2 linked regions of the Ovis aries genome follow. The protein of the gene in region 2 interacts with the protein of the main gene of each other region in a pairwise test. Links are inferred from orthologs where the notes say so. Each region holds a gene or a part of one and is shown on either strand. Other genes may lie near its edges.

What was found.
Region 1: the proteins of FAM161A (region 2) and CCDC57 interact in binary tests that used the Homo sapiens proteins (3 or more experiments, as listed by UniProt). The two-hybrid records come from large-scale screens. The link is inferred for Ovis aries from reciprocal best matches to the Homo sapiens genes FAM161A and CCDC57.

The regions. Positions count from the first base shown.
Region 1 is NC_056064.1:50,202,981-50,206,629, reverse strand, and holds part of CCDC57 (coiled-coil domain-containing protein 57), read right to left. Parts: coding exon 3,556-3,649; intron 3,153-3,555; coding exon 3,018-3,152; intron 1-3,017. UniProt on the Homo sapiens protein: Pleiotropic regulator of centriole duplication, mitosis, and ciliogenesis. Critical interface between centrosome and microtubule-mediated cellular processes. Centriole duplication protein required for recruitment of CEP63, CEP152, and PLK4 to the centrosome.
Region 2 is NC_056056.1:46,300,938-46,304,686, forward strand, and holds the start of FAM161A (protein FAM161A), read left to right. Parts: upstream 1-1,300; 5' UTR 1,301-1,385; coding exon 1,386-1,583; exon of another isoform or gene 1,584-1,590; intron 1,591-3,749. UniProt on the Homo sapiens protein: Involved in ciliogenesis.

The sequences.
Region 1 (3,649 bases), on a different chromosome or scaffold from region 2:
GAAAACATCATGCTGAGTGATAGTCGAGGACTTTAAAAGCAGTTTGCATAAATATATGCCAGGATTTAAAGAAAAATATGAAAAAACAGAAATGGAAGATATCAAAAAGAACAAAATAGCATCTACAGAGATGAAAAATACATTGTCTGAAGGAAAAATTCACTGGATAGGATGGGATTAAGAGCAGATAAGATACTACAGGAGGAAAGGCTAAGTGAACATAAACACAGAGCAGTAGAAAGCCTTCAAGCTCAAGAACAGAGTGGAAGACAAAAGAACAAGTAACAGCAGAGCCTAACGACTGCAGAACAATGGGAAGCAGACATACACGAACCCAGATCAATGAGGGGGTGCAGAAGGATGCAGAACGCGTTGGCAAAAAAATTTCAAATTTGATGAAAACCTGAGTCCACAGATCCAAGAAGTTCAACAAACCCAAAGTAAGATAAACACAAAGAAAGTCACACCAAAGAGCACATCATGGTCAAACTGTTTAAAAACAGGGATGAAGGAAATCTCTTAAAAACCACCAGAGGAAAAAGGGCACATTACATTCCTGCGGAAGGACAAATAAAAGAAACTGCCAACTTCTCATAAGAACCAATGAAACCTAGAAGACTTCCCACTAAGATACCACGCCGAGAGGTCCGGCCATGGAGTTGAGCTGGGGTGAACATTGGGTCAGCTTTATTCCAGAGAGCACTAGGGTGAACTAATGTAAAATTTCTGCAGTGGTATATATTACTTTTGTTTCCAAAGTGAAGCTATTTCTTCTGTTACCGCTAGTCCCCAGCTTTTCAAGCCACCTCTGGCTCCGCTATGCACCTGCCTGCCTCCTTCCAGCCACTGCTCTGGCCCCACTGCTGCTAAGTAGCTTCAGTCGTGTCCGACTCTGTGTGACCCCATAGATGGCAGCCCACCAGGCTCCCCCGTCCCTGGGATTCTCCAGGCAAGAACACTGGAGTGGGTTGCCATTTCCTTCTCCAATGCATCAAACTGAAAAGTGAAAGTGAAGTCACTCAGTCGTGTCTGACTCCTAGCGACCCCAAGGACTGCAGCCTTCCAGGCTCTTCCGTCCATGGGATTTGCCAGGCAAGAGTACCGGAGTGGGTTGCTATTGCCTTACTACTCCTCCTGCAAACATCCAACCTCCCTCTTTGTGCCCACTGGGCTGTTCGCCACCTTCTCTGAGGCAAAGCCTTAGGCTGCACCTGCTCAGGCAGACAGTAGAGTGGTCAGGGCTGTGCCAACTGGCCAGCACTGCTCACATTCCCCCTCTGCCACCTGTGGGGAAGGGACTACCCCTCTTAGGGCCTCAGCTTCCTTGTCCTGAACAACAGGATCCACCTCAAAGTTGCAGTGCAGCCCATTCCCAAGGTGAATCTTCTGTCCCTGTGGCTGTGGCTGCATTTACCCTAGCAGCCTGCCTGGCGGTGGTGCCTTGGTCTCTGTGGGGTGATCACTCCGGCCCTGCCGATGCGCCATCATCGAAACTAGTGCCAAGCAAAGAGGAAGCTGTGGCCACAGCCAAGAGGCTGCCTGTCTGTGCAGTGCAATCAGTGGTGGGCTCAGCGCTTCCCAGGAAGCGCCATGTCTTCCTCCCTGAGCAGCCTCTGTCTCGGCTTCAGTGCACGACAGACGCCCCTGCTGCTCCTACTTAGTGTCTGCCAAGGGCCCACCTCTACAGAACTCAGCACCAACCGCCGCCTGCCAGCCGACATCCGCCGCCTTACCCGGCCACACCCTTAACCTGGTCACAGTATTAAGGCCCTGAAGGGGGGACGCAGGTGTTTTGCTATTATCTAGAGGATTCCAGACTTCACTCCTCTGGGTCAACAGAAACTTGCACAGCATCCTCCACCACCCCAGGTCCCTGCTTGGTAAGGAGGCCACATCTCTGTGTTAAGACCACCAGGCCAGCTCACCTTCACTGGTGCCCGAGGTGCTGCTCTGCCACGCCCCCTCATGTTGCCTCCAGGGCCCCCTGTACAGAACAGAGGTGCACATCCCCCCGACTCTGCATGCGGCACTTGTTTCTGACCCCTCAGCCATTTCTAAGGTTCCTGTTCACTTAACAAGGCAACTAGGTACTGACAGGCCTCCCTGACCAGCGGAGCTGGTGCTTGGAGACAAATGTCTTCTTTTAATTGTCAGCCTGGCGGTAAAATACAAAAAAGAAAAATTTGGGTAGGGAGGCTTATTAATAAAAACAACAAAAAAGAAGCATTTGTTTTCTACCTAGAGAAGGTACCCATGCAAAAACCACCAGCGATGAGTCCCCAGGACCATAGGTGACCCTGGAGACTAGGGTTGGCCCCCCCTTTCCTCCTGGGAACACCAGTGCTCCCAAGCCTGACCACTGGCTGAGTGTGAATCTTCCCAGAGGTTTGTTAACAGACACACCTTCGGGAGCTTGACCCCTAGGGCATCAAGCCTAGTATGCCTGCTGGGATGCTCTCATGTGATCTTAATTAATCATCCATCTTAACTAATCACATCCATAAAGACCCTATTTCCAAGGAAGGTTGCACCCTGAGGCACCAGGACTAGAATACGCCTTTCGGGGCCACCATTCACCTTGGGGTCGTCCCATAGCCAGTGTCAGGCTCTGGCTGGCACACAGCAGCACGGGAGTCTGTGCTTTTTGAGAGGAACGGCCATCGTTACATATCGAATGGTTCAGTCACCACATGTGTAGAAGCGTGTTTTGGGATAAAGCTCTGACCTTTTGGTTCTCTGTGTTACCGTCTGCCATGGTACAATATCTGAATTTGAGGTTTTTTGATATTTCAGATACTAAAGACACAAAGAAGATTGAGTGCAGATTCCCATTAGCTGGTTGAGCTTTGGTCTCACCTGGTGTGAACAGTCATCTTAAAAGAAACATGGCTGCAAAGATCTACCTCCAGTGCTGATTCTGGTTGGCGTGCTTCCCCTCTGGTGGGGGTAGCGGGTATCTCCAAGGAGCCTGGGAGGAAGAGCTGCAAGGGAGACTCAGGAGGAGGGCGGCCCCTCACCTGCGCCTCCTCCTCAGGGAGTAGCCCATGTGTCCGCAGAGCCTGCAGGGCCTGGTCTCTCTCTCGGGTCACGGCCTTCAGCACCACCTCTCGGTCACACAGCCGCCGCTCCGTCTCCTGGAGCTTGGCAACAACCTGGGGAAAATGCAGACTCAGTTCATCTTGGGAGGATCAGAAGGGAGCGGTGCCACTTTCAAGGTCCAGACCAGCTCCCTACCCTGCTGGGAAGCAGAGGGCAGACACGAGGGTGAGAAACCCTAGGAAATATGTGGCCGTCAGAGCCAGAGGAGCCCAGCAAATGCTGGGGCCACCTATGCATCCAGCTCCAGAGGCAGCTGCCTGGCCATTAGAGACAGGCTGTGGGCAGGGACTCATCATTGCAAGTCCTGCTGATATAAACCAAACTGCTCAGTGAGGCCAAGTGCCTTCAAGTGCAAAGGATAACTTGGTGAGGGCCCAAGCCAGCTCCATGCTGCAGTGGACATACCCGGCCCTTCCTTCTGCAGAAAGAAGTCAGACAGCCCAGGGGAGTGCAGACCTGATCTCTGGCCGCGGTCAGGCCCTGAATCAGGTCCTCGGCCTGCTGGTACTGCTCCCGCTCAACACCTTCACAGCGGCGCTGCCAGTCCAGC
Region 2 (3,749 bases):
ATTTTTCAGTAAAAACAGTTTAAAAGATAACTGCAAATTTAGAATATTGCTCACGAGTGGAAGCTTTTTTGCTCTTCTACATACACATACAATATGTCCTCCACACTTACTGCTTCTTTTCCACTCTCTTCTAATGTTCTATTTTCAGTGTTTCAGCATGCTGATTTGGGGTCGGGGTCAAATCACAAGAGGGTTACGTGCAGCCACAGAACTCGCTGCATGCAAACGCCTGGACGTCCCTTCTGTGGTCATTTGCAGCGTCCATACCTCATGGGCTTCCAACTCTAGCTTTGGCTAAGAATCCAGCCGGTGTCTGTTCCAGTGGTCAAAGCAAATCCTCAGCCAAAACAAAGAGCAGCCTGCAGAAAGGTGAGGGAGTAGGGTGTTTCGCAAGTGTTTACATTCCTGATGGAAGAAATACTTGGTTCAGACTTCAGAGAAGGGGTCTGGATATTGCGCGTTGCGTACCCTAACTTTGTGGTGGTGACAGCAGGTTGTAGGGCCAGGAGTGGGGGGTGGCTGGGGCCTCAGCCTCAGGAAGTAGGGGTTTGGCTGACACTGCACCACGAAGCGACTTAGCATCATCAGCAGCAGCACCACCACCACGCCTGATATTTTAAGGCTAGGCTTCTTTTACAGGCGCTTGGTGTAGCGGCAAGGCGTCATCTGAAGCGCCCAAATCCCAAGTGGGAGACGTTGTTGGGGGTGAGGTGGAGATGAGGCTTGTTTGTGGCTACTGGTGGGCGTTTACACCTTCCGATCCCCACCACTATAAAGCGGAGGAACCCAAGCAGCAAACGTTCGGGTCACACACACCTGCACTCTCAGTCACTGGTGGGTGGACCAGGCTCCACCTTCCTCCAGATTGGTCGACTTCCGTTAGCTTTCAAGTCAGGGTAGAAAGTAACTCACGGCTTCCCATTCTCCGGCTCGCTGGAGAGCCATGTTAGGTCGCGGGATGCAAACGTTACCATTGTCCCGAGACCGCGACACGATAACACGCCCTGCTTTCTTCTGCCGCCGCCACCTCCTCCAAACATATTATTTCAATGAATAAAAAGCCCCACAGCACAAATCGTTTCATTAGTGTAATGTGAGAAGTCTGCATTTAGGGGGTGAAATGCGAAGAAGAGGGACCAGGTGCCCTATTCCCCCGACCAATCCTCTAAACCAGCAAAGACTCAATACTGACTCCCACTATCCAAGGGGCCCCGCGGCGGGCGCCGGTTTTAAGTGATTTTTGGCCCCTCGCGGCCCCTGTAGCGTCCCTAGTTACCGGGCCCCTAGTAACCACCACCCTAAGCAAAGAGCAATCGGGCGCCTGCGGCCACGCCGGCTTCCCCGCCCCGGGCCAGCGCGGGCGCTCAGGCCTCGGCGGCGCGGTGATGGCTGCTTCGCACCGAGCGGCGAAGTTGGCGGCCAGAAGTCTCCAAACCCCGGTCAATCCCAACACCGGAGCGCGGGTCGCCCAGTACGAACGCAAAGACCCTTTGAATTCCCTGTCGGCGGCGGCGGCGGCCATGGAGGAAGAGGAGGAAGAAGAAGAAGAGAAAGAGGCGGCGGCACGGCTGGCGCGGGCGCCGGTAATGCAGGGGAGGGCAGTGGGGTGGGGCTGGGCGCCGGGTGCAATTGGAGGCTGATCGGCGACCCCCGGTGGTGAGGCGCGGGCTGGGAAATGCGAACCCTGTCCTGACCCGTACAGGTGAGCCTGGCCCACCAAGTCCTCTGGGTCCTCACGGAAAATGCTCGAAACCGAGGCGTTGAAAAGTCTTTTAACCAAAGAGGTTGTTGTAAAAATTTCTTGGAGGGCATTTACGTTACGCTATTTCTAATGAAAAGTACAGAAATTTATTCTTATGCTCCAGCAACTGTTGGGAGTAGGTATTTTCTTTTCTTTTCTTTTTTTTTCTTTTTCCTTTCAACTCGAGGAAAACTGTGCTGTCCTACAGAGAATAATCCAAAAAACGCAAGTGAATCAGCTGTGTTGTCAGGTGTGTTTTGTTGTCACTTCAATGTCTTGGTTATTAGTGCGTCTTAATACAATACATGAGAGATGATGGTTAAAACCAGCAGGAGTTTAGTGGGGAGATCAGAAACAGAGTTAAGCCTCCAGAGAAGCAAATTACTGAGGCTCCAGTGTTGCCACACGGCTCTTCAGAGTGAGGAGAAACAGCTTTTTCACAGATCGATTTTCAGTGTCGAGTGTTTTGTGAACACCTGTCTGCCAGGTAGGGGGCCAAGTCTGCCATCTGCTCTATTCCCTTAAAAGATGAGAACTTTGAATTTTAACCAGCAATCTGCAGGTATAAACCTTCTTAACCCCAGGTAAAGATTCTTTTGTTATTTTTAATATTTATTTATTTGGCTGTGCTGAGACTCAGTTGCCTCCATGCAACCTTTGTGTGGATTCTTTAGTTGTGGCATGCAGAATCTACTTCCCTGACCAGGGATGGAACCCAAGGCCCTTGCATTGGGAGTGCAGAGTCTTAACCAGCAGAGAAGTCCCCCCAAATTCTTAATACTGTTTGCTCAAAGCATCTTAGGTTAAAAACATGTAGTCTAGTGAAAGTCACTCAGTCATGTCCAACTCTTTGCAACCCCCATGGACTATACAGTCCATGGAATTCTCCAGGCCAGAATACTGGAGTGGACAGCCTTTCCCTTCTCCAGGGGATCTTGTGGTCTAAGGCTATTAGAAATCACTGGATATTTTGGAATTCTAATTTCTTTAATCTGCACTAGAAATGGTAATGAGAAAATCTGTAGTAACACCTTTTATGGGCAGTATTTTACCAACAGATAAACTGCTTGAGGTTATCCAGAGTAAAGCAGATTCAAAGACCCTGAACTTCAACCAGAATGAGTGACCTACAACCAAATTCATTCATGATAAAGCTTCAAATTTCAATACCCAATGAAGGAGGTGGACTGATGTTGAAAAATGATTTGAATGAAGAGAAGAATTTGGAGTCCTGGGTTAGGATCTGTTCATTTGCTAGTTAATATTAAGATGTAACTTCTTTCAGTTTGTTTCCTTATCTATAAAAGAGCTCTAAAATAACTGTCTTTCTTTTCTCACTGGGGTATTATGAGAACGAAATAAGAGCATATGTCATAGCTAAAAGACAGTTTGTATAAATTAGTAATAATAATAACAGCTGCCAGTGGGGCTGTTATTTGAACACCTATCCAAAAGAGAACAGGAGATTAAGTTCTCTTCTGGCTTGCTGTAGTGGAAAAGTCAGTCATTTCTGTGGTTGCAAGTATACTTCCAGAGTACCCTGTAAAATTGCAAATTTGTATTAGAAATATTACCTTAGGAGAGATCAGTTTATCTAATAAGCTAGTTTCTAAGGGACAGTGTCTCACTAAAAAAGAAAAAAGGAAGCTAAGTTTAACGCTATTCTGAGACCACAGTACTTAAAGGAACCAAAAGGAAATCTGGATCAGCTGCCACTGTAGTAGTGGTAAAGAACCCCCTGCCTGCCAGTGCAAGAGATGTAAGAGACGTGGATTTGATCCCTGAGTCAGGAAGATCCCTTGAAGAAGGGAATGGAACCCATTCCAGTATCCTCGCCAGGAAAATCCCATGGACAGAGGAGCCTGGCAGGCTACAGTCCATAGGGTCGAAGAGTCTGACACGACTGAAGTGACTTAGCGTGCAGCACATAGCAGTAGACCTGATGGAGACACTGGGGTGGGCAGACAAAGCACTGGAAAGGCAAGAAAGAAAGTGCAGCAGACAAGCT